Diceros bicornis minor: one gene and its partners. The protein of the gene in region 4 interacts with the protein of the main gene of each other region in a pairwise test. Links are inferred from orthologs where the notes say so. Each region holds a gene or a part of one and is shown on either strand. Other genes may lie near its edges. The genes, in order: CDR2, DBNL, SH3GL1 and SH2D4A.

Region 1 (7,442 bases), on a different chromosome or scaffold from region 4:
ATATCTCTTTTAACTTACAAAAGTGCGATTTATCCAAGAGTTTGGACATGCTTAACTACGGGCCAGGGAGATGTGTTTATGGCATTGTTATCCTCCCTACTTGGAAGAGTGCAACAGAAAAGGAACAACAAGGTGATATCCTTTAGCTAAAGTCACAGAGAAGGAATGAAGTGAGCCCTTCATCTTAGCATAAAGTTGTCCACTCAGTAGTACAGGTTTGCACTGGATGATTTAGTCTTGATCCTCTCCTGACAGACTATGTAACTTTGGCCCCAAAAACATACCTAAGATAGATCTGGAAATAACACATTCTGGTCCTTGCTCTGATGTAGATGTCCCTCTTAAATCTGGCCTATTGTCTTACTCTTTCAGTGACTTGATTTCCCCAACTGAAAACAGGGAAAGGTTAACCAAGCAAGAGGTAGGTATAGATCATCTTCCTTTTAATCTTGACTATGGTTTTAACATAACACCATGATTTTCCTGTTTCATCCCTGCCTTACTGGAATATTTGTCCAGGTCTCCACAATTTTACTGAATCAGAAAACAGACAAATATTCAGATAACTGGAGAGATGTTACTTGCTTAAATAATTCTTGGGAATTAAGCAGGTACCTCAGTCTGTATTACCCAATTTCTTAGGGAAGGAGAGGGCAAGTTAGAAGTGGGGGAGGGAGCATTTGGCTCAAATGATCAAATTACCTAAGTCCCTGAGTTTCACTTTGCATCTAGTAGATACATGATTCTAATTCTATGGAAAGTAGGACCCTGGAATTATCAAAAGCAGTTATTAAACACATAGGCAGATCAAGCATTGTCTGTCGACGGAATAAAGAATATTTTGCCCATCCGTGTACTAGTATTCTCAAAATGTTTGTAGATTCTGCTTAATGATAAAATATAAATCTGAATTTTTTTTTTTTGTCACTACGCAGCACTCAAACACTTGAGGAATACAAGTACTATTACGTAGAGGCCAGCCAACATTTTTGGCTTTAAAGGTAATTCTCAGATTTGAACAAGCTGGGAATGACTGGTGAAGCCCTCATTCTAGGGAGTTCCTTTTGCCATAAGAAGCAAGATAGAGGCTAAAGGTCACTGGGATTCTAAGAGGGCCCAAAACAAGGGAGTCAGTAGAACCAAAAGCCAAGGTACAAATTTAGCCCACCAAAATCTACTCACTCTTCTTTTTCTTAGTTTTATTTCAGGCATGCTAAAACAAGAAGGATGCCATACCTTCTGAACTGATCTATCATTAAGTCAGAAGGCAGGTATTTATAAACTTAGAATTTTACAAAGAGTCATAAACTCGCTGAGCTGAGCTCAATTGTTTTTAACCCCTGGGAAAGGTTCACCATGAGCTAACATCTGTTGTCAATCTTCCTCTTTTTCTTTTTTTTCCTCCCCAAAGCCCCAGTACATAGTTGTATATTCTAGTTGTAAGTCCTTCTAGTTCTTCTGTGTGAGCCACTGCCACAGCATGGCTACTGACAGATGAGTGGTGTGGTTCCGCACCTGGGAACCCAACACAGGCTGCCAAAGCTGAGCCCACCCAGCTTTAACCACCAAGCCATTAGGGCTGGCTCTCACTGAGTCGAGCTCAAATTTCTAAAAAGAATTTGAGTTAAGCACCCAGCCTGTCTGAAACATGTGAATATAAGGTTTTAATAACATTATGAAAAACTCTATAGCCTGAACTTCTCTTTGTGTATGTATACTCAGAGGAGGAAGTAAAATCTTCCTTATTTCCATCTGCGAAGGGAACTATCAATATTTTGCTTTAGATTATTTTCATCATAGTAATACTTATTTCAATAAGTATCAAACTGAAAATCAACAACTACAATTTTTTCAAAGCCACCACCACTATCTAAAAACTCTCCTGGGGCTGGCCCGGTGGTTTAGCGATTAAGCTCGTGCACTCCACTACTGGTGGCCCAGGGTTCGGATCCCGGGCGCGCACCGACACACCACTTCTCCTGCCATGCTGAGGCCGCATCCCACATACAGCCACTAGGAGGATGTGCAACTATGACATACAACTATCTACTGGGGCTTTGGGGGAAAAAAAGGAGGAGGATTGGCAATAGATGTTAGCTCAGAGCTGGTCTTCCTCAGCAAAAAAAAAGAGGAGGATTAGCACAGATGTTAGCTCAGGGCTGATCTTCCTCACAAAAAATAAATAAATAAATAAATAAATAAATAAATAAATAAATAAAACTCTCCTTACCTGATTTTACTATGGCAACAAAACACAAAAGATCGAGAACATTATATCTTTACAAGCAGGGGCAAAGGACTTCTGAAACTGGTTCTTCTTTATCACAAAATGTTTTATACAGAAGAGTTTGAAACTAGCAAAATGGTGTCGTGGTTAGGCTGGGCAGGTTCACTAAACACCAGTGAATTATTAAATGAAAAACAGGAAACCCTCCTTTTAGAATCAACTTGGGTTGTTATTCATTAACCTACTACTAAACCAAATAATACCAATGTTGCTGAAGAAGCTGTTTATGATTGCTTCTAAGGTATGACTAAGACTCTCAAAGAATGATCAAGACCTCTCCAAAGCAGGGCTTCTAGCACTGAAAGCTAACATGTCTTTTTCAACGCAATTTTTGTTCAAGATTTTTCCAGGGAAAAAAAAAGCTTCCCCAAATAGTGTCCTTAAAAAGAACCCACTAACAACAATAGGCTTAAAGCCTGTTTTGTTTTGTTTTTTGACATTTTAAACTATCAATAACTTTAATTCTCCAGATCTTTCTCTCTCTCTCTTTTTTTTTTTTTTTTTGAGAATGTTAACGTTTCAATACACTTTCCCATCTGATTTGGAATCAAAATGAGCTATTTAACATCCTTATAACTATGGCATCAGAAAAGAGTACATATTTTTATATATATAATTAAATGAGCTATTTGCCATGGAGAAAAAAGCCAGCACTTTCAATCTTGCGGATCAGCAACTATGGAAGATGAAGTCTCTTAAAGGTCAGATGCATGATTCTAACCCTTCATCTTCCACAAATCGACATCAACAAATCCTAAATCCCATCATTTCTCCTTCCAAACAGCTCTATCTGTAGTGACTTATTTTTAAATTAAGACAGTTGGTTTTAAGTTGTTTTTTCTTTTGGCTCTGGACTAATATCTCTACCTGAATATTGACAACTAGGGCAGTAGAGGCTTTATAGGGGACCTAGCTTTCTTCTTTTTTAACCTAGCAATAAAATGTAGATCAGTAACATTTTGTCTTTTAGTATACCTGGATTCGGAAGAAAGGGATTCTTGAGTTTACCATTCCTCTTTCATTATGATTATTACTTTCTAACACCTTTATTCCTTCTACATTTCTTGGCTGGCATTCTACTATAAAAGAGAGCACTGCTGTCTTCTATTAGCTGTACCTTTACCTTTACATCAAGGTTGAGAACACTGACGTTGTGGTTTGTCACTATTTAAGAGTTTCCCGGCTTTGTCTGCATGATGATGGTAAAAGCTGCAACCCACGAACAGTGGTTACCGTCATGTCTGTGGGGAGAAGCGTTCACTGCTCTGCCGGCCATCAAGGGCTAGCGCTGCGTTCATTCTCTTCTCTACAGGTGCAACGTCACGACCTACATGCTTAACTTGTAGTCTACGAGTCTTTTAGATATCGCACGCAAAAATGCTCGCAATTTTTCTTCTAAGGAGATAGGTTCAACTGCATCCCTTCCCGCCCCCAGATTCTCAAGTACGTCTGGGGCCAGCCGTTTTACAGCGAACGAGTACAATTTCCCAGAGAATTGGAGGTGAGGGCTCAGATGTCAAGGAGCAAACTGCTAACAGCCCTGAACTCCCACCGACTGTTCATCTCCCCGCATCAACGACATCAAATCTGGGAGTCAGAAGACCCGAAGGGGCAGGCGGGGCAGCGGACATCGGGCTCCCGGCACCCTTCGCGCCTCCTGGCTGCACGAAGGACACCTCACGACAACGTCCCACTGCTCCGAGGCCGGACTCCAGCCCCTCAGGCCCACGCAACCTGTCTACTGGCTGGGCGGCCCCACACCCACACCCACTACAGGCGTTGCAGAAGCCGCCACCTCCACAACCCAGCGACACCAACGCACTCCCAGAAGCGTCCCAACGCAGGAGAGGGCGGGGGCTTCGGCCGCACCCCTTCGCCTTTTCCCCGCCTTCTTTGTTTCTTCCAGATCCGCCATTGGCTGCTTGTCCCCGAGGCCGGGCGAACCCGCGGGCCTGCATTGACACGCGATTGGGCGACGTCGCTGCCCCTCGACCAGCAGCCCGCTCTCGATTGGTCGAGGCGCCGCCGGGGGTTTGAATCGCAGCCCCGGCCGGGGAGGGTCCTGCCGAAGTGCCACGTTGGGCCCGGCTGCGGCGTGAGGAGCCGGCTCGGGGCGCTAGCCGCGGCGCTCGCGCCATTGGGGCGGGTGGGTGGCGCGAGGCGAGTCGGGAAGCCGGTCCGCGGCGTGCGGCTCTGGTCGGGCGGCGCGGGGGAGCTCGGGCGGCGGCGCGTCCCACCCGAGGGCGCTCTGGCTGAGGAGGGAGGGACAGGCGGAGCGCCCGGGACAGCGGCTGAGGCGGGACGGCGGCGGCGGGGGCCGCTGCCCCCGGAAGAGCCGGCCGAGATGCTGGCGGAAAACCTGGTGGAGGAGTTTGAGATGAAGGAGGACGAGCCGTGGTACGACCACCAGGACCTCCAGCAAGGTGAGGGCGCAGTCGCCCCGCAGACGACGGGCGGGCGGGCGGCCTGGCTGGGGAGGCTCCTCCTGGGCGCGAAACTGGTAAAAAGTTGCGTTTGCTCGAGGCCGAGAGGTGCCAGGTGCCGGGAGAGTCTGGCGCTCACCTGGCGTTGGGACCGGCCGCGCCCGCCCATCCCGCGGGAGAGAAGCCTCTGCGCGGGGCCGGGGCCCGGGCTTGTGCTCGGTGATCCCCATCATCGCTGCTGCGCGCGGATCGCTGGCTGCGCCAGGCACTGTCTGGAGCGCCTTCCCCGGCTTCGCTGATCTAACCCTTACTGCCTTCCTCGGAGGCAGAGCTGCGGGACCCTGACCAGGCTCGGCCCGCGGCCTCTCTGCCGCTGGGAGTCGTCCCACCCCGCGCCGGGTGGGAGCGGCTGCAGGTGGCGGGGGAAGCTGTCCCGTGTGGCACGTGCCCAACCCTTTGCACACACGCAGTCCGCACAACAGCTCTGTTGGTGAGAGAGTAACTTTTAGTATCCCCATTTTCCAGATGAGGAAAGCGGAGGCTAAAACGGCTAAGTGACTTCCCTCGAGTTAAGTGTGGGAGCGAGTATTTTTGAACCCACACACTCAGAATGAGGAGTGCCCAAATCCTGTGTCTTTTTTACCATCCGGTTTACAGCTTCTTCAGTTGGATGTTAGACTCTTAAAAAAAAAAATTGCTTAGGCTTAGTTTAGATGCCAAATAAAATGACTTGAGGACACTTCTACCTCTACCACCTCCTTCAGTTTGCACTCCAGCTTTTTTATTTAAACACAAGCATTTGGATCTTGGCCTGCCTTGGATTTCTTGATGATGCTGTGTCTCCAGAGAAAAACGTTAGAGCAGCCCTCTTTTTTTTTTTTTTTTTTTTCATATTAATAGCAGGAACTTGCAGTTGGGGAACGCTTTTTATGTGCCAAACACTGACAGGCCTTTACAACAGGTGCTCACTTAATGCTCCCAACAACTAGGGAGGTGGAAGTAGATACTGTTATCGGGGAACTAGGATTCCACTTCAGACTCCAGCGCCAACTTTCTGAACCACTATACTGAACACTGAATAATCCTCAGGAATTTCTCCAGGCATCTTCTGTTTCTGCAATTCTGTGTAAATCAATTTTTTCAGCTCCAAACTTGCTCTGAAACTTAACATTTCATTTAGTTGAGTAGTAAATGACCATGATGTTTGTTCAGGCTAACCATTGAACTTAGGGGGAAGGGGTGCGGAAAAAGAATGTAGGCTTGAATGACTCATGTTCAGAAAAGGAAGATAAACACCTCTTTTGGGAGAAGATGATTTCTAAATCCATATGCTATGGACAGTCACTGAAACCAAAGTTGTTCACCCTTACGCTTATATAGTCGAAGTTATTTCGCGGCCGCAGTGCAGTATTTGCCATCATGTTCTCTGCGAGACAGATTTGTCTTACATTTAATAAACCTGTTTTCAGAATTCCCCATAAGGATTGATGGCCTAGTTTGATACTTTCTCCAGGGTTAATGGAGCAGCCACTGTGCAGTTGCAGCATTTGCCTGTAATAAATTAAGCAGTTTGTATAATCAAAGCTAAATGTTTTTCTTTCCTGCATTTGAGAGGCGTGGGTCCATACAGGCTCATTGTTTTGAATCTAGCAAAATACTTAACACATCGTAGAAGCTCAGTTTTAATATCTGTTGAACTGAGGCACTCACACAGGCTTACTGTTTTCGTGGCTCTCTTCCATCGGATACCTTCGTCCACGCTGCACTTTCCCCCGTGGGAGGTTGTTAGAAACAACCATTTGTAATATTTCAGTCTACTTAGAAGCAAATGCAACGTGGTGGGGTTACGTGCGGAACTCTTTAACCTCTGATGAAAATGAAGTCATCAGGTGTTCAAGCTTATTGAAGCCATAAAGAGCACACGTCCAAACCTCCTTAATGTTAATTTGCTTTTGGAATTTGTTCCCTGCTTTTCAAAAGACTTTTACGTCCATTATCACAATGGACTTTGACATAACCTGTATGTCATAACCAAGTGTATGGGGTAAGAAGAGATGTGAAATTCCAACAATCATAACTTGTGAATATAGCCTGTAGAAGAATGAAGGCTGCAGTGTGAATAAAAGGATATCTTTGTCCGAATTTTGTTAAACTATATGTTAAAGAACTCCTAAACTTCTAATGGATTTAAAATTTTGTTAATTTCTCAAAAATTTATTATCTACTCTATGCCAGGTATTCTTGTAGGCACTGGGGCCACAGTGCCTATCCACGAGATAGGATAGGTAGGGTCCTACTCATGGAGTTGACGGTCTAGGAAGCTGTTGGCTAGAGAAGCCTGGAGATGCTGCCTCCTGGTATGTGCCCACTACAGTGCCTGGCACATGGTAGGCCCTCAGTAGGTATTTCCTGCTGAATAAAGTTTAGGAGCAGGTCTGCCCTGTTAAACAGATTGATAAGCAAATCTAGCTGGATTTTATCAAGTGCAGGCATCTGTTCATTTTTTAACATCCTCACTGTTAATTTACTGAGCGAGCCCTATTTGGAGAGAGGTGCTAGAACAACTTTTTAAGATCTTGTTCTCAAAGTCATAGCACTACAAAATTTTTTCCTTTTGCAATAGAAGCGTTATTTAAGTAGATTGAGTCTTTGTATCAAAGCTTGCTGGGGCATTCGTTTTAAATTAAAATTGCTGAAAAATTCTAACCTCGGGCCAGCCCAGTGCATACTGG
Region 2 (7,718 bases), on a different chromosome or scaffold from region 4:
TTCCTTCCAAAAACACATACTGAGAACATGCTGCTTGCTAGTCATGGGAATAATGCTATGAAGAATCCCTACGAGGCCCTGCCCGTGGAACTCTCTATCGGGACACAAAAAGAAATACACAAATCAACACTAACACACTGTCAGATAGTGCAGTGGGTGCAGGAGGGGAACAACCCTGCCATGATCTAGGGGAAGAATAACCTGGGGGAACCAAGAGAAAGACTCAAGATGGAGACCTGATGCTGTGGCTGCTCCCCACCCCACCTGGCTTCAGGCCTAGCCCAATACCACCCACTCTGCACGTGAGACCTTGTACCATCCACCCAACCAGAGACCACTTCTTCTTGCTCTCATACCGTATACCACTTTTTCTGTACCCCTCTCAGTCCATCCTTCACCTGAGCAACTACTGCACTGGGGATAGACACAGGGCATATCCCATCCCTTCCGGTGAAGAGAGAAAGGAGACAGGAACACCAATGAGGAGTCTGGCATGTGTCCAGAGGAAGTAAAACAGGGAGATGGGAAGATGTGACTGCAGCCAAGCAGCTAGGAAGCGAGGAAGGCCTCTCCAAGAAGGCAACCTCGGAGTTGAGAAGTAAAGTTTGGGGAGCCCCCAGGATGATGCGGAAGGGCACTCCAGGGAGAGGAAGCAGCAAGAGCAAGGGCTCTGAGGAACCAGCTGGCAAGTTTGAGGAAGAGAAAGGCGGTTAGAGAGGTGGAAACAGGTGTGGCCACAGTGTGGTAAACAGGAGGGGTGGCAGGCCAGGAGACCAGCAGCTGGGCCATGCAGGGCCTGTCAGCCACAGAGAGGAGTCCAGGCTGTATTTAATGTGCAACAGGAAGCCACTGCAGAGTTTAATAAGCAGGGAAGTGACACGGTTTAGATATTTTTTCAGCTAGTGAGTGGGGACCTGCCACACAGTATCTGGTGAGATACTTAACGGCTGTGACAATGAGGGCAGAGGCCAGGGGTTCATGCTGCTGAGTGGTATGACCCAAAATGGTTCTGGAGCCTGGGTGAGAGTGACGAGGCTGGTGAGATGGGTGGGCTCTGACTGGGTGAGAGGAAAGAGGCTCAGCACCCTTGTGGGAGACAGAGTCCTGGGTGGTAGCAGAGAGCTGTTAAGAAGCCCAAGGACAGGCTGGAAACATGAGAGGCCTGCAGAGGGAAGCCTGAACTGCCAGCTGGGCTGCGGGACATCATCCCCAAACCAGTGATGTTTCCTGAAAAGACTGAGGATGAAGACAGACCTGGAGGGAAGACCCCTTAAGAGGCCCAGAAAGGGCTACACCAGATGATTAAGCACACATAAAGGAGCAGACCCCTAACTGGGCAGGACTGGGAAGGCACAAAGATGCTTCCAGGCTCCAAAGTCACGTGCCCTCACATGGATGTGAAAATGGGACACTCAGTGTGGAGAGACTTTCAACAGGGTTTGGAGTAACAGCAGAGGCCGAAGGGCCCTCTGAGATGGGAGAGAGACAGGGTGGAGGGCTGACACCCAGAACTTTCCTTAGAGAAATAACAGTGCTTGACGTGTCGGTGAATTTCTGAGGGGCTGCAAAGAAGAGAAGGCAGAGAATCCCTACCAGTTACCAGACACCCATCCCTAATTAGAACAGAAGCGTTCCAAACAGAGGATGTGCTGCTTGGATCCTACGCAAAACTGTGGACAAGTGCCACGCAGGGGGCCCACACCCACTTGGCCCCAGAGACGAGACGAGTCTGCAGATTCTGCAGACCTAGGCAGCTGGTGTTCTGAAACTCTTCCCCAAAAGGCCAAGGGCTGAAGGAAAGGGAAGGCCACAGCGTCCTCAGTGTCACAATAGTATGTTGTATGAAAGCGACTCTGTGCTGGGCACCAGAGAAAGCAGATGAGAAAGCAGCAGCACTTGACAAGTGGAGATGAGCCAGTCACGTCAGCACAGCCACCCACAACAGGCCCCGCGCCAAGCAATGGGAACAGGCTCCCCAAAGCTGGTCACCTTAGTTCATCACACTCAGCACATTTCTTAGAACTGGAAGTGCTCACAACTGATCAGTGAAAGCCATTGAAGCAAACGGGAAAGTGACACAGAATTACCTTGCATAGCTACCAGTGCTTGCCCAACAAAGAGTTGACCCTGCATGTGGGCTGCCCAGGGCTACCCTAGAGACTTCAGATCCAGGCTTCCAGTACTATAAAGCTCCATCCACTGCATGAACCTAACCACTGACAGCCTGGCGGAGGTTGTCACGGGAGGTGGAGGGAGGATGGGACCTTCCTAAAGACAAGTAGCCAGCATCCTTGTTTCATCCATCTCCCCACAGCTCAGGCACGGGAAGGAGTATTCTTCTTTGAGAAAGGGAGGTTTCTGAAACCCACACTCACAGAGAACTAGAAATCAAACCCTTGACCTCGTCTGACGCCTCCAGGGCAAGGCTCCTATTCCCAGCCGGACTGCCAGACCGCTCTGCGAGGCCCATTCCTCAACACAGAGTTTGAAAGAAGCCAGGCCTGGCTTCTGCTTTCTCACGGAGGGCTGTGGAGGGCCCCTTCGTCCAGGGAAGTCCCCGGGCAGGAAAGGAGAACCTGGGAAGCCACCAACCAGAGCCAGGCACAGAACCCAACATGGAGGCCCGAGGAGCCGAGACCCGACGCCAGCGGAGGGGGAGGGGCTGGGGACTCACTGGGCCCCCAAGACGGGGTTAACCCGCCCACGCACGGCGGGGCACTGGCTGACCAGGGCGGGGAGAGCACCTCCCGGGGGTGGCACAGGTGTGGGGCAAACAGGTGAGCCCCGGTCCACCTGCGGCCGCGCGGCTCCGCAACCCCTGGTTCTCCCGCCCCTGGCCCGCTCCCGGCCCGCCTCGGCGCCCACCAGTTGGTCGGGGACTTCTCGGTGACCACCCGCACGTAGGCCTCTTGCAGCGCAGGCCCGTTTCGGCTCAGGTTTGCAGCCATGGCCAGCACCGAGATCCCCTTGCCCCTGCTGCAGCTTCCGGGCCCGGCCCGCCCCCGACGACCGGAAGCCCCGCCCACCATACGGCCGGAAGCGGAAGCGGCGTGGGCGAGGCCAGGGTGAGTGGGCGTCTCCCGGCTGGGCGTCGCAAGAGCGGGGCGGGGCGGTGTGGCGGCCTGCAAAAGCCTCTGGACCGGAGGAAGGGGGCAGGGTACGTCCCTTTGCGCGTCCCCGGTGCTCCACCCCGCCCAGGCGTTCGTTCGCCTTGTGGGCCTGGCCGAGGCACTCAACCGAGCTTTCTGATAGCTGCTCTCAGGGAGCACCGTGCGTTTCTGTCCTAACTCTTGCCGCGATTAATGCACTTATTTAAGAATTTGAGATTCATGACAGTCTCCCTCCAAACGGAATTCCCGGAGCGTCTGTGTGGACCCTCAACAGAAGTTTGATCTGTGAATGAAGCATGCATGAATCAATGAGTACGCGAAGTAAAGTGAACACTAAGTGACACCACACCGCCACAAACCTAACTCAAAGTGCTGTTGTGCTTCCTCGACCTCACCTGCATTTCCCCCGCTGGTTTGGTTGAGGACAGGGTAGCGGAGGAAAGTGAAGAAGCTGCCCGCTGCTCATCCTGATTCTCTCCAGGCCCTGGCCGACTGAGGGAAGGGGCCCACAATGCTTCAATCCACTCCCTTCCTGCAGGGAGCACCAGTTCCTTCCATGCACAAATGTGCCTGTCGTGACTGACCTACCTGGAGGGAAAGAGGGAAATATGCCAGGGCCCAAGGCAGCTGGAAGCTTCCCTTCTTACCCCAAAGAACTCCCCACCTCCCTAAAATACAGATCCAACAGTCCCATAGTCCCTTAGATGTGCTTTTGAATTCAGAGTTTTTCAGATTTCAGAAAAGTAATATTGATCCCAAGCAGCATCTGGTATCAAACACGTTCATATTTGTGCAGTGATGTCTGTGAACAATTGGCTAATTGGGTTATAGAAAGACTGTTAATGGCCTCGTGGCAGTTCAGGTCAGGTTTGGCTGCCAAATGAGTTACCAAAATCATTTATGTCGGTTTTTATTTCTGTTTACATCATTGTTGTTTATTTTACAGGCAGAAGCTCTGACATCTCTCTGATGGGCAGAGCGGTTACCTTGTCCCAGTCTGGGGAAATTGTAGGTCCTGGCCAAACACTCCTTCCTTTCAGCAGCTCCGGTCTGCCGCCTCCCTCCCTCCCCAAGTCCATCCTGGGTCTTCTCTTCTACGACGTGCAGGTGTACCCATTTCTACATTTTGACTTCACTACTGTGTTTGCATCAGAAAAATGAACTCTAGTAGTGCGGACCTCCCAGCTCTCCCAATTTCTAGTCTTTTTTTTCTTCAGTGACATCTCTGCTGTCCTTGTTTTTCTTTCAGACCTGACCCTCAGGTGACTTTCTGCTCCACCCTAGTCCCTCCCACCCTTTGCATTCCAGGGAGAGTTCAGCCCCCAGTCTATGGTTCTTCTGCCTTCTTCTCTTTGGCCCCATGTGTCTTTGTTTTCTCTCTTATCTCTGGGAATGTTCCTGTTAAACACCTCCTAGTAACCAGTTTCCTTCATCCACTTGGCTGCCAGTCCCCAGCCTGGGGTCCCTGGACTCCTAGGAGGTCTGGCAGCACTTTTCAACATTTTAGTCAACTTAGGGAGACCCCCCCTTGCCTGAATCAAGCTGTGCAGGCCAAAGAGGCAGGTCTCTTTGTTTTGGAAATAGATCAGCTCATTGTGGTGACCAGGTTCATCCACACTAATGAGGGAAAATCAGGGAGATCCAGGCTCCATTGAAAGAAAGCTGAGGGGGGGTCCCTGGTGTGGGAATGTGAGGGTGCCAGGATTCCACTTCCTGCTCTAGGGTGTGGGAACCTATTTCACCTCAACAGGCCAGGGAAGGCTCTCTGAGGAGGTAACACTTGAGCAGAGACTGGATATAGGAGCAGGGGGGTGAGAGTGTGTGGCTATGGAAGGTCTGGGCAGAAGTGTTCCAGGCAGAGGGAACGAGATGTGTCGGGGCTCTGAGGTGGGAGCCAGCCTAATGGGCTTGAGGGTGGAGCACAGGGAGAAGGAGAAGGAAGGAGACGTGGGGTGGAGGCTGGATCCCGTAGGACCCTGTGGGTCAGGGGAAGGACTTTGGGTTTTGTTCTAGGTGTAACCAAATCTCTGGCGTGCTGTAAAGAGAGAGGATGTGATCTGGAGATGTTTTAAAAAGGTCCCTCTGGCTGGCTGCTGTGTGTAAACCATTTCCATATCCGTCTCCTTCCCACTCCTGCTTTCTTGTGTTCCTGTTTCCTTTTGGCTCTCTCTCTTTTTTTTTTGTAAGGAAGATTAGCCATGAGCGAACATCGTGCCCATCTTCCTCTATTTTATGTGGGATGCCTGCCACAGCATGGCTTGATAAGCAGTGCATAGATCCGTGCCTGGGAACTGAAACTGCAAACCCCGGATCGCCGAAGCGGAGCGCGCAAACTTAACCACTACGCCAGCGGGCCAGCCCCAAGCTCTCTCTTTTTGGTTGGCTGTTCCTCAGTTTGAGAACGTGAGATGTCTCCAGAGGTCATTCCTGGGACTCCTCTCTCCTCCTGAACTAACTTCTCTGCTATTTGCACAAGCGTCTATACCTTTCTTGCATGTGGATAAACTCAGATCTGCTTTACTTCTTGATGCTCTCCTGGTGGGTTAGATGACAGATCCAAGGCACAGAACCAGAGCCCAGAATGGTCAGTGTCCTCCACACTGAGGGCAGTTGGCCATGTCCTCAAGACACCCGAGTCCAAGTGTGGAGGGAGGATCTTGCTGGCAGACTCCCTCTGGAGCCCACCGTCTAGAAGGAACCAACAGCATTATGAAAAAGAACTGTCAGAGAAGCACAGCAAGACCAGTGTCTCACTCTGTTCAGGCTGCTATGACAAATACCACAGCCTGGGAGGCTTGTAAACCACAGACACTTATTTCTCACAGTGCTGGAGGCTGAAAGTCCACCATCAGGGCACCAGTAGATTCAGTGTCTGGTGAGGACCTGCTTCCTCACCCGCGGCCATCTTCTTGCTATGTCTTCATGTGGTGGAAAGGGCAAGGTACCTCTCTGGGGTCTCTTTTATAAGCGCACTAATGCCATTCATGAAGGTTCCACCCTCATGACCTAATCATCTTCCAAAGACCCCCACCCCCTAATATCATCACCTTGGGGGTTAAGATTTCAACATAGGAATTTTGGGGGACATAATCATTCAGACCATAGCAATCAGTAAGAAAGAATAGCTGTTTATTCAGTCTTCATCAACAGAAATGTCAATTAGCAAGAAAATGATTTTCTTAAAAGCCACTAGGATTACATCTCTCCACTTCAGCCACACGTGGTCACGTTACTACAGAGTTAGAGAAATGGAATCATTACTTTTCCTGCCCTAAAAGAAAACTTCTTTATGCTGCATGGTAAGAGGAATACTGTAAACAAATACTTCACATCTTGAGAGATTAAAAAAAAACCTTCCGGGGCTCGCCCGGTGGCGCAAGTGGTTAAGTGCGCGCGCTCCGCTGCGGCGGCCCGGGGTTCGCCGGTTGGGATCTGGGGCGCACACCGACGCACCGCTTGTCAAGCCATGCTGTGGTGGCGTCCCATATTAAATAGAGGAAGATGGGCATCGATGTTAGCCCAGGGCCAGTCTTCCTCAGCAAAAAGAGGAGGATTGGCAGATGTTAGCTCAGGGCCGATCTTCCTCACAAAACAAACAAACAAACAAACAAAAAACCTTCCTAGTTGAGGCCCTCTTATGATTTGAACAGAGAGTAAGCAGTCAATGGCAGGCAGGTGGAAGGGCTGCAGTTCTGACCCTGAGGGTCCCAGGCCCTCAGGTGGAGAGTGGCCTCATGACTGCTTGTCATAAGGCTTGGCTCTGAGGGGCAGCCACAAGTCAGTGCAAGGTGGCTCACAGGAAGGGCAAAGCCTCCTCCTTCAGGAGGAGGAGTGTTCTTTCCTGCCACCTTAACCGTTTACAAAGGCCACAGAGAGGGCGCGCTTGCCACTCACAGAGCTCTTGTGAGGGTCTCTGGCTTCTCAGGTCTTGCCTGAAGCCTCAACCCTGGAGACCTGAAGACATGCATGCCTCAGCCAAGCTCCCCGCTGTAGAGGGGTGCACCCACAGCAAAGAGCCAGCAGAAACCCCACAAGGCTCAAAAGGAACAGAAGACACAGGTGATGGGGATTTTGCAGTTTCACTACAACTTTGCTGACATTTTCACCCAAAGACGTTGACAGATTCTCAGTCCCTCCTGTTACAGGGTGAAGGCCTACCGAGCCTGCCCTGCTGGGCATTTGACGCTGAATGCAGAAAGGGCCAGCTTCTTCCACAAGGGCGGCCAGCCTTATACTCCTTGCCTTGGCCGCAGACCAGCCTGTGCCTCCAGCTCCATCCTTCTTTCTGGAGCTGGCAGATAATTTTTCCCCTTGAGCACTGCTGGCCTTCTTGGGCCCTGGCCAGGCCATTATTGCTCCTGAGAACAAACTCTGAGGCAAGGCTGGGCCCAGGCCTAACGGCACTTCTTTCCTTTCTTCACATGGATTGAGGGGTAGAGGCAGCTTCGCGCCTGTGTCCGTGCTACTGAAAGGTCCCTGGTCCAACGACAGCGCTTGTTCCCTGGGGGTTTAGGGTGTGAGATGGTCTCACGCATCAGCTTACATGAATTGTGCCAGCTTCTTAATATGAAAATTCGTATTCGTTCCACCACTCCTCCACCCTCAACG
Region 3 (7,393 bases), on a different chromosome or scaffold from region 4:
CATCTGTGTACACCTGGGTATGTGTGTTTTGAAAACTAGGAGAAGCAGGCAGCTACCACAAGAATGGCCCAGGAGAGATTTTTTCTTGTTGTTTTGTTTTGGTGTAATTAGCCTCACTTTTCTCAAACCTTAAAGCAGAGTTTCTCAACCTCGGAACTACTAGCACTGCGGGCCAGGTAATTTGTGGTTCTGGGGGGGCTGCCCTGTGCACTGAAGGATGCTGAGCAGTGCCCCTGGCTGCCACCCACTAGATACCAGTAGCAATCCACCAAGTTGTGACAAGCAAAATGTCTCCAGATACTGCCACTGTCACCTGGAGGGCAGAACTGGCCCTGGTTGAGAACTGCTGTTCTACAGGACAATAAAAGTCCCCAAGTCCTTTTGTGGGAAAAGGGGAGTGCATTGACGCTCAGGCCAGAGGAGAGACCAGTTGAGACCAACTGGTTTAAAGCACATTGCCTGTTCACATGGTGGAAACTCAACACATACTAATTATTAGTACATAACGAGATATGTTACTCTTGAACAGACGACTCTATTCCGAGGGCGCAGAAGAGGATGTAAGAGGTGTTCCTAAGAACGAGAAAAGAAACGCACACAGAGATGGACACGTCCAGATAAACAAAGGAGCTGCTGGATGCCCGTGGAAACTGTTGCAGAAGAGAAAGGAACACAGCCAGGGTGAGTCTTGAGAGAACTACTCAACACAAGAGTTGATGGGGAGGCCGAGACAACCGCTCTCAGAGAAGGATGTGGCCATCAGAGCAATTCTCTGGGGCTGGGCCTCAGAATGTGGAGATAAGAAATTGATCTGAACCACCAGCTTACACTGCGCTGTGCTTTCCAGGTTTCAAGGCGCTTTTCACAGATCTGAATGCGGGCCATCCTGGTTCCCCGAGAGAGAACACTCTGGCAGCTGGCCTGAGAGGCCCGGCTGGTTCCTTTAGCTGGGTGTGCCTGCTGGGGACGGTGTGGGCCACCAGCATGGGGCCTGATAGCTGGGGTGGGGAGGGGAGAGCTTCCGGAAACCCGTCTACAGGATGGTACAAGTGGTCCAGGAATTCTTCCAAGACCTACGGGGACATTGTTCCTGTGCAGGCCGGACTACACAGGGGCCAAGACAGTGAGCAGCACCAAGGCACTCCAGCCAACCACGTGGGGGTCTGAAGCCTGCTGGGCAGAGGCTAACCCAGGGCCAGATCACTGAATTCCATCCTGCTGGGGCAAAGGGCTGTACCCTCAGCAACAATCCTAAATGCCTCTGGATTACGTCCCTCTTCCTTCAGGGTTTAGCCACCATCTGGGGTCTAGATATAGACCCAAATATCTTTAGCCCTAGACAACCAAGAGGGTCGTTACTTTTTCCCTTAAGGGCCGAAGGGCATCAGCTGTGTGTTGCTGGGGACTTACTTCTCTTCCCTCCCACTGGATCGCTCCAAATTGTGGGTAGAGTTTGGCTTGTCAACACGGCCCAAAGAACTCCGAAAATCATCGCTCGTTCCTCCGTGGAGTGTATCCACACAAACTCCACACCTACAGTTCTTAACCTGGGATGCAGGGACCAACAGGGTTCAAGGAATCTGGGGCTTCTGGGATCTGAAATTATAAACCGAATTTTGCATCTGCCTGGTTTTCTGGAGAGTGGAGCCATAGCGTTCGCCAGATTCATGAGCCACTGGGCCCGAATCTTCCAAAACACCTATACTCTCTGTCACACATAAAATGCAGATATTCTTGGATTCAGCATTCCACTTCTGGGAATTTCTCTTATAAATCCAATCCCACCTGTGAGCAAAGATATTCACTGCAGTGTTGTTTGTAGCAGAAAACTGCTGGAAACAACTTAAACATCCATTGATGGACCGGTTAAATACATTATGATACACATCCATCGATAAACCAACTAGGTAAATAAATTATGATACACTTGGTGAAATGTAATACCACGTACTCATTAAAAAGATCCCAGAAGCTCTAGGAGCATGCTTTAGTCCAGTAGTTCCGGGGGAGGGGGCGGGGGGAGGGAGGGGGTTCCCCCAGGGAAATCTGGCAGCCACTGAGACATTTGTGGGTGTCACGGCTAAGGGTGCTCCCAGCATCGAGCGGGTGGGGGCCAGAGATGCTGCTCAACCCCCCACAGTGCCCAGGACGTCCCCCCACAGAGAATGACCCCAGGTGGAGAATTCCAGCTCTACTGTGATCTCCAAGACACATTTAACGAAAAACACAAAGTCCACAGGACGGTGTCGACTCTGCTACCACTATATGTGTGTTTTTAAAGGAGAGGTGTACACGTATCCTTAAAAAGAGACCTAAGTCGCGGGTGACAGTCCTGATCGTGGGGAGAGGAACTGGAGTGGGAAACTGACTTTTCACTCTAACCTTTCAACTTTGCACCGGGTCCATCGAAAGGGTATTTTTTGCCTTTTGTTTTAAAGAACTGCTTTAGACACAAATGTTCCCTTCCTCTGCGCTCTCTGGCAAGAGTTCTGTGTCGACAGCCTCGGGACTGTTCTTCCCCTTCTCTCCCTCCCTACCCCTGCCCTGTTAGAGGGGAGGAAAGGAGGAGAGGGATCACCGCCCTGGGTCACCCCCTGGGTGCATCTCTGCTCCTCCCAGGGGTCTGCCCACCCCTCCCGAGGAGGCTGGAGCACACAGGGCGGCCAGGGCCCGAGCCACCTCGCCCGCAGCCCCTGCCCCTCCTGGGCTCTCCCCACCCCGCGGGGGACACGTGCCAACGCAGCCCCCTCGGCCGCCTCCCGAGCCAGGGCCGGGCCTGGCCCCCCACTCCGGGCCGCCCGGGGCCCCCGCCTCGGCCTCCGCTCACCTGGCTCGCCTTGTAGAACTGCTTCTTCAGCCCCGCCACCGACATGCTGCCTCCCGCCGTCGGGCCTCCCGCCCGGACCCCGCGAAGCGGAGGGACCGCTCAAGCGACAGGCTTCCGGGCGCCGCCAACCCCCCGCGCGCCTCCGCGGCCACGGTCAGCGCCGCCTCCTCCGCCCTCTCGCCAGCTCCGCGCCCGCCCCGGCGCCGCCTCAGCCTCTCGCGCGCCCGCGCGGCCAGGATATTACATGGCAACTGCACACTTCCGGTGCCGGCCCGCGCGCGCCCCGGCCCCGTCTGCGCACGCGCGCCCCCTGCCGGCCGGAGAGCGCACGCGCACTTCGCCTGCCGTCGGGAGCGGGGAGGGGGGCCGCCCCCGCCAGCGAGTGGACCGGGCGAGCCTAGAGGGGCTGTGGCGGCTGCATCGACCTCTGGAGTCCCGGAGGTGGCCCCAACGTGTTAGGAAAGGCGCTTAAACCTTTCTGGAGAGGTTGGGAGGCTGTGCTTACAAGTCTCCAGACACCTGTCTGCTAATCTCAGCTGTACCCAATTCCTCTATGCTACTTTTTTCTTTAGTCCCTCCCACCTACCGGCAACCCCGCCCCGTGTTCATCCATTCAGTTTCCCAAGTCAGACATCAGGGCGTCGCTTCTACCTCCTTTCCACTGCCTCCATTGCCCTCCCTGCCCTAAGCAGACCATTCCACCAGCCTCCTCTCTGGTGTGCCCACCTTTAGATTCTCCCCTCCGATTCACCCCCTACAAGGCAGCCAGAAGGATGCTTCTATAACAATTCAGATCACATTAGTCTCCTGTTTTTAAAGTCCACCTACTGCCCTCAGAATACACTCCCAACTTCCTAACACAGCCTACAAACTTTGCATAACTTGGCCTTGTCAACCCTTCTGACTTTGGCTCTCTTCATCTTCCATAATCCGTGATCCCTGAGCCTATGGGCCTTTGCTAACGTTGTTCTTCTCTTGCACAGTCTTCCCCAATCTTTCGCTCCATCCTTTGCACATAAAATAGGACTCTGCTTGGAATATCACCCCCTCTAGGAAGACTTCCCAGATTGATGCATGCTTACCGATCTTGATTTTTTAATCAATTGTTATTGTATTGAATGAATTGGAAATTAACAATGAATTGGAATGAGTATGTGAACCCAAAAAGAGGAACAAGAAAGTGACTAGAGCTAAGGGGCTTGCAACTTCAGTGCTGAAATCTCTGACATTTGGGTGATTGTCTGAAGCGGAAGTTTGCTGGAAGTTTCCAAATGCCTCAACAGAAGGTCCTGGACTAGATCAGAGGATTGTTTCGGCATATGCATGCCCTAGCCTCCCTCTCAAAGATCCTGATGGGGCCATTACAAATAGTTTGAAAAAACTCTCCATGTGATTCTGATGGTCACTGGTCTAAACCATTGCAGAACGCCAGAATGTCAGAGAAGGGAGGGAAAACACCTCATGGTTCGTACGGGGAAACTGAGGCCTTGAGTAAGACGTGACTTGCACAAAGTCTTGCCCACATTCCCTATTTCTTCACATTACTTCCAACCAATTCTACTGATTTAACTATCTGATCTATACAATCAATAGAATTCTAAACTTGGGCTAAATTTCGGTCTTCTCACTTCTGCTCTGCTGGATTAAATTGCTGCTGGAGAAAACCTACTCTGAAGGTCTCTGTTCTGTGTGAGCCTTTTAACCTATATGATCACAAAGTCCAATCAAATGATATTTATGCAATCACTCAAATATTTATTGTCACCTACTAATGTATCAGTCACTGACAGGTCTCAGGGATACAGTGATGAATGACTCCTGCCCTCATGGAGCTAATGACAAAAACAGAAATTACGGCATGAATCAAATAACACGGTAATAAATAAACATAAGCTGTAATTTCTTCGAGAAAAAGAGCAGCGTTGTAGGAACTTCATTTTGTTGGGGGTAATGGAGGAAAGGTTTCTCCGAGGTCTAACTTTAAGATCTGAAAGTTAGGTAGAAATTAGCCAAAGAAAAGAGCTTCGGAAAGAGTTTTCCAGGCAAGGAAACAGTGTATAAAAATCCTGAGGATTAAATCGGAAACATTCATTTCATTCATTCCCCCTGAATATATTTACCGCATGTCAAATACTTCTGAAGCGATGCCTAGAGTTTATTTGTATTGTCATATAAAAGCAATTTACAATTTTAATTGCTGTTGGTGTATTCAGCCGACGTCCAATTAGGATAAACTCAAAACTTCAGGCTTCCTCTAAATCGCAGCTTCAGGTTGTCACCCGTCGCCCTACGTAAAACGTCTCGTCATGACGTAAGAGCCTGACCCGCCCTCTTCCTACCGACCTATCCCACGCGCTCAGCCAATCACAGTGCCGAGCTCTCAGCTTGACACCTCCCTCCCCCAATCGCAGGGCGCCTCCTCTTCGCCAATGACAGGCAGCCAAGAGGAAGCCCCGTCCCTCCGCGGGAATATCAATAGGGGAGCCACGGGAGGAATGGAAGCCTCGGCTCTCGCGAGGATGCTCCCGGAGCTCCCCAGTTCCCGAGGCGGGCCGTCACGTGATGCGGCCTCGCCCAATCGGCGCGCGGGCTGCGGGGGTCGCCGCGGTTCCCGCCAAATACGAGCGCGGCGGCCGCGGCAGCAGCGGTGCGGGCGGGAGGGCGAGCAGCAGCGGCCGCCTGAGCGGAGCCTGCGCCTCCGCCGCCTGAGGGGAGCTCGAGCCGCCGCCGGAGAGATGCTGGAGGAGCCGGAGTGCGGGGCGCCGGGCGCCAGGGCAGCGGCGGCAGGTCGGTTCGGGCCCGCGGTGAGGGGAAGGGGGGGCGCGGCGCGCGGCCTCTGCGGGCCGAGGCGGCGGTTGGGGGCGGACGGGCCGAGGCGGCGGTTGAGGGCGGACGGGCCTCCCGGCCCCGGGCCCGCGCCACCGCGCCGGGCGTTCGGGCCGTGGGGCCGTGCAATCCCGGGGAAGGGCCTTGCGACCCGGAGGGCGCGCTCCTTGACGTTATTGTTGTGGCCGCGACCATTTCTTTCCGGCGCTTTTGCGGCAGTACGTCCTTGCAGGGCCCTGTGCGGTGACGGGTCGGTGGGGGCTGGGAGGGGAAACTGAGGCCCGAGGAGGCGAAGGGGCCGGCTTGGCAGGTAACCGAGTGCGTTTGGGTCCCCTGAGCAAGTTGGGCCCCGCAGCGACCCTCTGGCCGGGTGGGGAAACTGAGGCCCGGGCTCACACGGGCCCGGGGACCCAAGGGCTGGGTCTGCGGGTCAGGGCAGGCCGAGGGAAGAGGCTGGGTGGGGGGATCGTCAGGGAGCCGGGACTCCCGGGTTCTTGATCCTCCCGGTATGCAAGGTGACCTGTCCTCCTCCCTGTGGCTTGGGAGGGGGCTTCCTAGCAGCCAGCAGGCCCCGACAACGTGGGAGGCGAACCAAGGACGGCCCGACTACCCCTCTCCCCTGCTTGACTCCCATTTTGTCCCCAGCCCTTGGCACAATGCTTGGCACACAGTAGGTGGCCGAAAAAGATGTGTTGGTGGAATGAATTAAGGGGTGGCAGGGACATCAATTAGTCTAGTCCAGGGGTTCTCACCCTCAGCACTGTTGACATTTGGGGCCGTCCTGCGCACTGTAGGGTGGCCTGGAGCAGCATACCTGGCCTCCATCCATTAGATCCCCCTAGCAACCCCTCTTGCCCAGTTGTGACAACCCAAAGGTCCAGGCATTGCCAAGGGGCCCCTGGGAGGCAGAGTCACCCGCTAGTTGAGAACCACTGCTCTAATTGTTTCCAGATTTGGGGATTTCACAGAGACTTAAAATTCACGTAAATAAAGTCGGGACTGATTGTCAGAGACAGTCATTTGACCCAGTGAGGATGTTTAATTAATTTATTTTTTTTATTTTATTTATTTTCTTTTACCCCCAAAGCCCCAGTAGATAGTTGGATGTCATAGTTGCACATCCCTCTAGTTGCTGTATGGGACGCGGCCTCAGCATGGCCAAGCGGTGCATCGGTGCGCGCCCGGGATCCGAACCCAGGGCCGCCAGCAGTGGAGCGTGGGCACTTAACCGCTAAGCCATGGGGCTGGCCCCAGAATGTTTTTTTTTTTTTTTTAAAGATTTTATTTATTTATTTTTTCCCCCCAAAGCCCCAGTAGATAGTTGTATGTCATAGCTGCACATCCCTCTAGTTGCTGTATGTGGGACGCGGCCTCAGGATGGACGGAGAAGTGGTGCCTCCGTGCGCGCCCGGGATCCGAACCCGGGCCACGAGCATCGGAGCGCGCACACTTAACCACCAAGCCACGGGGCCGGCCCAGAATGTTTAATTTAAAAAGCACCACTTGCTATGAACATACTATCATGAAAGGGAAGAATGTTTTAAAGCCAAAGAAAAATTAGGAGGGAGGTATCTCAGAATTAAGGGCAGTGGTAAGTTTATACACCAGTGATTGTTAATTGTATGTGTACTTCTGAACAGTCTGGATCCCTCGGTGAAGTCCCTTTTTATGTCGACCCGAGGCTGTTTCTGGGCCTAGGTTACTTCTCTCCCACTTGCATCAAAGCTAGTGTTTCAGCGC
Region 4 (7,274 bases):
GTGCCAAAGCTCATTCCTCCCCTCACCCCACCCAGAGTACTCTCGATACAAGAGTGACGTGACTGTGCTGCCACTACCCTAGCACTTGACGTGCAGTCACTCATTTAACCTTCACAATAATCCTTCAAGTTCAGTCCCCATCACCCCATTTTACAGATGAAGATGACGGCAAGTGGCAGAGCTGGGCAGTCTGGCTCTAAGTTGGCTCTAGTGTACTCCACCAGGACAGTGGAGTTTCTTTGTGAGCCCAGAATCAGAACACCATCAGGATGAGGTACCATATGTGAAATTTCGGAATGAAAACCAGCAAATTCTTGCAGCGACAGACATGCTGAACCGACGGAGAGCCTCCCAGGGGTAGAAGCCTCATCCCGGGGATTGCAGATAAGCTTAGGGGAGGCCAAAATTGAAAAGGCCCCACCTCAGGAAGGACAGCAGGGAACTTACTGTCCTGCTGGCCCAGGTGTGGACGCTGTCTGCCCACTGGATTCACTGGGCACTCATCTCCCCAGCTGCCCCTCACACACGACCCCCCGGGACAGCACCAACGGCCCAGCCTCTCACAATGGGAAGAGCTCCACAGCCCCTGTGAGGAGATGCTCAAGCTCCTCCACGGGTTTAATTCTGTTTTGTTTTGCCCTTTGTGGCAAACACGGATTTTCAGCGTCAAAGTTAACTAGAGGATCTTAAAAGACACTGGCTTTCCTGTGTCCTCAGAGATTACTTGGGGACCCAGCTAACAACCATCTTGTGGTCAGGATGCTGAATAATACGCATGCCACTCTAAGGCTGCTGATTCCCACTGGTGTGAATGAACTCTTTCCTCCGTATGCTTTCAGACAGAAACTCAAACACAGCCCAGGGCACTCCCAGGACAGCCAGCAGGGACCCCAGCCTGGGCTCCTAGTTCTGTCTCTCATGAGCTGTGTAACTTCACGCTGTCACTTCTCTGGACTCAGTTTCCTCATCTGTGAAGGAGGGCCTGAACTGTGAATCTTTGTAATTTGAGGACTATACCATAAAATCCAACCAGAAGTTACAAAGACAAGTGGAGCCAGCATCAAGGAAATGGACATAAGGAAATTAACTAAGCAGGATTCTTCCCACTTTCACTCCAGGCAGGACAATCATTGCTGATTCAAACTCAATGACTTGGCCCTGTGTAACATATTGAGTGCAGCAAACTTCCAGTTTTTCAAGATCCAGTAAAAAAAGAGAAGCTTGGCTAACTTGGTTTTCTTCTTGTACAGCACTTTTCTTAAAAGAGAGAAATGACAAGCAACAAGCCTACATCTGCTGGTTATTCCAAAAATAAATCTCTAAAGGATCATAGGATCAGTTGTTTTCCAAGATACCTATAGATTTGGCCTGACTCTCACAATTTCCACTGCCCTGTTCTATGAAAGAATAATTGTGTTTTTAATGACTCTGAGACCTAAAAAAAAAAGCCTGAAATACAGCCTAAATCATTAAAATACTGTAATACGGACAGTATAACTTTAATGTTAAGAATATAGTTTGAATTCTAATTCTTTTAAAACAGCCCAGCTCCGTTTTCAGACTTTGTTACCTTATTCGACTTTACCTTATTAATCTCTCTGCAAAGGGGCTATTTTTGAGGATAAAAAGGAATTACTAGAGGTGACACCACACTTGGTAAGTTTTGTAAATGTACACCATTCCTCAAAAATTGGAAATTACTGTACCCACAGATTTATCCAGAAAATTCTAGTCATGCCAACTCTGCCCACATATGCTTTCCACTTATTCACTTTAAAAAAATAATTGTATCCAAGTCGTTATTGCCAGTAAACAGGCAATCAAATAAGTCTTTTAGGAGGTGAGGAGACTCTAAGTTTAGAAAGAGAGAGGCGCCACGCTGGCTTCTTCCCTCGGACCCTCGGGGAGGGAAGGACGACCCCGAGAAAACCTGCGAGGGGGACTCGTCCCTGCGCCTCCGCGCCCACCGCCTTCGGCGCCCCTGGGCTGAGGGCCGAGCCCGGCGCGCCCTGACTCCAGCGGCGCCCGCCCGCCGCAGGCCCTGCCCCGGCGCCCCCGGACCGGCGCCCCCGGACCGGCGCGGGGACTCGCCTGCACGGTCGCGGCGAGGAGCTCCCCGGCGCTCCGCGGGACGGCGGGCCGCGCTCCTCCCGGCGCCGGAACTCCGGCCCAGACCCTCCCGCGGCCGCCCCGCGCCCCCGGCGCCCCGCGTGGCGCGCGGCACACCCCCTCCGGGACGCGGCGCGCCTCCCAGGGCCCCGCGCCCGCCCCCGCCGCCCCCGCCCCGCGAGCTCAGCCCCGGCCCTCGGCGCCGCCTCTCCCCCGCGCCGGCTCCGGACACCCGACACCCGACGCCGGCCGCCCGCCCGCCCAGCCCCACACCTGAGCCCGCGGCCGGAGGGGCCGTGGGGGGTGCGTGCCGGCCGCGCCCGGGCTTCCCGCCCCGCGCCTCTCCCCCCAGAACACCCCCCACACGCGGGCTGCCCCGCCTCCGCCGTCCGGCCTCCCGTCCCCGCCCGGCACCTACCTGTGCGCGGCGCCGGCCCGCCTAGCAGGGCGCCGAGCCCCGCACGTCCGGCTGGGCCGCCGGGAGCGGCCGGGGAGGGGAAGGCAGAGGCGCCCGCGGGCGGCCCAGGCCGGCTGCACAAACACTCGGCCGGGCTGTGGGCAAACGCGTCCCCAGCCCCCGCCCGCCCGCGCCGCCCCACCGCGCCCACGTGCCGGGGACTGACTGGGTCGCGGCCCCGCCCGCGCCGGAGGCGCTCCCGGGCCCGTCGCCCGCCAGGCCGCAGACGCGGTGCTCCGGACGGCAAGGCCACCGGCCCCAGTTGCATCTGTGACGGCCTGTCGCGCCATCTCGGGTCCTGCGTCACTTATCAACATCGGCGGCCGGCCCCTTCCCGCTCCGAAGCCGGGGTTTCGAGCGAGGTGGAGCCTGCGGCGGCGGGCAGGTCTCAGTTACACCGAGTCCCGCAGGTCAAGTCGGCTCAGCTCTCAGGTTGTGCTCCTGCGTCTCTGGAGCTTACTTTTTTTTTTCTTTTGTTGACATTAAGTCAACTCAAACTCGGGGGCACTTGTCAGTACAGGTGTGGCTTTGTAGGACAGGATCAAGGAGGAGAAAGGCTGGAATGATGGAGACTGAAAACAAGAGACAGGGAGAGAAAAATGAAAGAAGTCTGGAAAAAGGCAAGAAGGTAAAGGAATCTTGTGAATTGTAGCAGGAACAGGTCGAGGGGTGCATGAAGGGAGGAGCTGACTGAAGACAGGAAAAGGAAATCCTGGAGGGAAGTCCAGCAGTAGCGGAGTAGACAGGTTGCAGGGCGTTTTCCATTGAGGGGGAACATTCAGAATGTGTAGAGAAAAACGGCCTGCTTTAGTGAACCACAGACTGGTGTTGGGGAGAGGAGTAATAAACAGTGAGCGTTCATTGTCCTTCTCTACAGCCTCCCTGATAAATTCAGGAGCTGACTTGCTCTGTTGGGAAATGAAACTTTCTCATTCCTAGCCTCTCCAGACTGCAGAAGAAACTCAAAGTTAGAAAGAGCCTTGGAGCAGAGATCAGTCCTTGAGAGACCTAACTATTTGGGAACCACCCTAGAGATCCTATCAGGGGAGGATTTCTGGCTTAGCTTTGGTTCCCACTGCTTTTTAAATAAATGGCATGTGGGGTGCTTTTGGCTGGAGTGTCGTTCGCCCCTGGTTAGCTGCTGTGGCCAGCTCAAAATGAATCCTAAAACTTGATGGATTGAACAGTTGAAGAACTATAAAGGGTCCTTCATCAGCCAGTAAAAATTCCACAGGACACTGGTAACAGCCACTTACCTTCCTCCACACTCAACCTATCTCTATGTCCTAACAAGTCCTTCTTTATAACAGCGATCCCACTTTGCTACTAAGCTCTCTATCCTTCAGTTTCCCCCTCTGGATAACAGCAGTGCCTACCTGATTAAGTTGTTCTGGGGGTTAAGTGAGATAATACATGTAAAGTGCTTAGAACAGCTCCTGGATGTGGTAAGTGTTCAAACACATTACCTCATAATATTTCACAAAACATACTGTAGTTTCAAGTTACCACCTCACACCCAGGCTATGAATTTTGCCTCCTGTGGTACCTGGACTCCCAAGTTAGCCTCAATGATCCCCATCTCCTACTATGTCACTTCTGAGATTAGGTTATAAAGGATCTTGTAGCTTGTCTTAGGTGTGTATCTCCCTCTCTTGGATCATTCCCTCTGAGGGAAGCCAACGGCTCTGTCATGAGCAACCCTATGGAGAGGCCCCGAGGACAGAACTGAGCACTCCTGCCAACAGCCACAGAATGAACTTGGAAGTGGACCCTCCAGCCCCACTCAGGGGTGCAGCGTTGGTCTACAGCATCATTGCAAATTCATGAGGCCACCTGGCTGAGCCACTCTCAAATTCCTGACCCACAACTGGAAGTGAGTAAATTTGTGTTATATTAAGCCACTGTTTGGGGAAATTTGTTACACAGTTGTAGATAACTGATATACCTCCACACTGGTCTTGTTTCTAAGCCAGTTTTAGCTAGCTTTCATATGCAGGAAATTTCATGTATTGGATAGCTTATTTAAACATGGATCCGGGGTCTCACCTCAGAGCAAAGCAGTAGAATATCTTCCTTTTGAACAAGCACTCCAAATGATTGGATCCAAGAGGGGTTATAGATTGTGCTTTCAGCAACTCTGCTCCAGGCTCTCCAGGTCAGACGTTTCTGAATGCAGTTGTCAAATTCATCTTTTTAAACGTTAACTCTGATCCTTCATTTACTTGCTAAAAGATCTTTGATGCTCACCCCTCCTTTTTGTCCAAGGTAAGACTAAACCTCTTGCCAACTTTCAAGGACCAGGACAATCTAACACTAATCTCCCTCAGCTTTATCATCTTCCTAATACAATCCTCTGTTCAGATAATCTGGCATTTTCCAGGCCCTAAACCTACACAGGCTCTGGGGCTCCACACTGGCCTCTGTCTAAAATGTCTTGACCCACAACTTGGCTTATGAAAATCCCACCTAGTCTTCAAGCATCAGTCTTTAGGAACCTTTTCCTGCCTATCCTCCCCCCAGCTGGAAACAGTCCTGGCCTCTTCCATGTTCAGAGCACTTGTATCACAGGTTAGCACTTAACACATCCAAGAACCATCTAATGAACACCCGCTAGGTGCCAGGCTGTGTGGTGACAGAGGGGGGCGGGGGGGGCGGGTGACAAAGAGCAGACAGCCAGGGCCCCTGCTGCCGTCTTCTATGCAGCACTGCCTTGTATAGTAGCTGTGTGTATATTTTCTGCCTCTTTGCGATTGTAAACGTCTTGACAGCAAGACTAGTCATGTGCGGAGCACGTTAGCTGAATGGATGTTAACAGCCCAAATGAACACAGCCTGTACCCAAGTAGTGCAATCATTCCCTCAGCTTGGGGCCCAGTATCTCTTCCCTTTTCTCTCCTTGTCTCCTGTCCGTCGTCTTGTCGTGTGCCTCTTTCCTGGATATGTAAATCTCTCTCTCCTCCTCCTCCTCTTTCTGTGGTTCTTTCTCCATCCTCTTCACTTTGTCTCTCCTCTCCTCTTCCACCTTTCTTTTTTGTTCCCTCTCTCCTGTCTCCCAGTATTTCCTCTTTCAGTTGGCATAATCTGGGGAAGAAAAAGTATATATTTTTCCTTAATTTCAAAAGTAGACAATTAGAACGTTTTATATTGCTCTAAAAAACACCAGTTGCCTCCGTTACTTACTTATGAGGCCCTCAATTACTTTCCCTCCTTTTGGGCCAGTGCTTTCAGAAGAAAGCATTTCTCCACTCCATGATCCAGGATGCATTGTGGAGAAGATTGCTGCTTTCATATGCTAGCAACACTCCAAATGGAAGGTCAGGTCTGGGCAACCAGGCCTTGGCAGGGGACGGGAGCTGGGCATCTACCGCTGGCAAGTCAGAGACATGTACAATAGGTGTCACCAGAACATGTGTTCAGGGCTGCCCTGATGCCCATCCAGGGCCAGTGTTCCAAGAGAAAAGCTAACTAGCTATTTACTATTAATATCTAACAGTAATAATAGTAAATTAGTAAATTAACTAATTTTTTAAATTTGTCGTTTATTTGTAGTAATGGACACCACAAAACAAATAGACTACATTTTAAGGGACATGTTCGCTGATATTCCTTTTAGAATGTTGCTTAAGAACGGTGCTGCCCAGGGCTGTCATGTGCAGCCATGGCACTGCACAACTGGAGGTGCACCAGGCAGAGATCACAGAGTGTAAGGCACCCCCGGGAGCTATGTACACAGCAGCTGATTGCTACCAGAAAGTCTAACAAGCCACTTTTCACTTTTCATAAGTAAAGGTCAATTTGTGTTTAAATTCTCCAGAAAATGAAAGTTACCTTCAGACTTTTTCTTTATAAAAGAAAATAGGATAAACACCAATAATATTTTTCCTGTCATATTTTATAGTCAGCATCAGAAACCCCAACCACTTTTTTAATTCTTAAAGAAGTTCTACGTTTGTTCCATAGTGAATGAAGTAGATGTGAAAGAAAAGGACTAAAACATTTCAGCTTTACTAAAAATTGATCAAATCTCAAAATAAATTTCTGTCAAGTTATTAATCATAGAAAAATGTATTGAAGATCTATTACGTTTTGGTTTTCTGCCAACAGTTAGATTTGATTTTGAACTATTTTCATGCCTTTATGACTCTATGTGGGCTTTCATTTTTTCATCTTCATAAATATCAAGATAAATTATTGGTCTTTACATGAATCTTTGAATTAATTAGACTATAATTTTTGATGTTTTCCCCTGAATTACCTTTATGGAATTGTTTCCTCAAAATCCGTGCTCTGGGTTGCTGATAAGACATTCCTCCTTTCCTGTGTTTCTGTAATGCAGCGGGAAGCAGCCTGTGGCCCAAAGGAACTGTTGACTTGAGGCTTGTGGGTGGAATTGGACATCCCCTGCCCCAAGTGGTGTGGGACGTCTGTGAAGAGGCTGTGGTAACCAGAGCTTTACGGTCAAGCCCTTGCTAGTATTCTGGCATTCCTCGGATCTTCCCAGGCAGCTTTCAGCAGGGCTCCCAATGCTAATAAAACCAAAGTCTCATCTCTTCCTTGGACCAGATTCAGAATCAGGTTTTGATTTCCTAACTTCTCTCTTATGTGCTATCTTTGTAAAAAGTACACAAATCCATTTTGGTTTTATAAGGGTTTACTGCTAGTGAGCACAGAAGTAATTCTGAAGCACATATTAAAATAACCTAGGGAGA

What was found.
Region 1: the proteins of SH2D4A (region 4) and CDR2 interact in binary tests that used the Homo sapiens proteins (3 or more experiments, as listed by UniProt). The two-hybrid records come from large-scale screens. The link is inferred for Diceros bicornis minor from reciprocal best matches to the Homo sapiens genes SH2D4A and CDR2.
Region 2: the proteins of SH2D4A (region 4) and DBNL interact in binary tests that used the Homo sapiens proteins (3 or more experiments, as listed by UniProt). The two-hybrid records come from large-scale screens. The link is inferred for Diceros bicornis minor from reciprocal best matches to the Homo sapiens genes SH2D4A and DBNL.
Region 3: the proteins of SH2D4A (region 4) and SH3GL1 interact in binary tests that used the Homo sapiens proteins (3 or more experiments, as listed by UniProt). The two-hybrid records come from large-scale screens. The link is inferred for Diceros bicornis minor from reciprocal best matches to the Homo sapiens genes SH2D4A and SH3GL1.

The regions. Positions count from the first base shown.
Region 1 is NC_080765.1:31,136,496-31,143,937, reverse strand, and holds the start of CDR2 (cerebellar degeneration-related protein 2), read left to right. Parts: upstream 1-4,434; 5' UTR 4,435-4,631; coding exon 4,632-4,710; intron 4,711-7,442.
Region 2 is NC_080780.1:1,146,057-1,153,774, reverse strand, and holds the start of DBNL (drebrin-like protein), read right to left. Parts: upstream 3,007-7,718; 5' UTR 2,949-3,006; coding exon 2,866-2,948; intron 1-2,865. UniProt on the Homo sapiens protein: Adapter protein that binds F-actin and DNM1, and thereby plays a role in receptor-mediated endocytosis.
Region 3 is NW_026691553.1:3,317,753-3,325,145, forward strand, and holds the start of SH3GL1 (endophilin-A2), read right to left. Parts: upstream 3,008-7,393; 5' UTR 2,873-3,007; coding exon 2,828-2,872; intron 1-2,827. Other genes in the region: CHAF1A (chromatin assembly factor 1 subunit A), read left to right, coding at 5,563-5,614. UniProt on the Homo sapiens protein: Implicated in endocytosis. May recruit other proteins to membranes with high curvature.
Region 4 is NC_080768.1:40,644,887-40,652,160, forward strand, and holds the start of SH2D4A (SH2 domain-containing protein 4A), read right to left. Parts: upstream 3,013-7,274; 5' UTR 2,528-3,012; intron 1-2,527. UniProt on the Homo sapiens protein: Inhibits estrogen-induced cell proliferation by competing with PLCG for binding to ESR1, blocking the effect of estrogen on PLCG and repressing estrogen-induced proliferation. May play a role in T-cell development and function.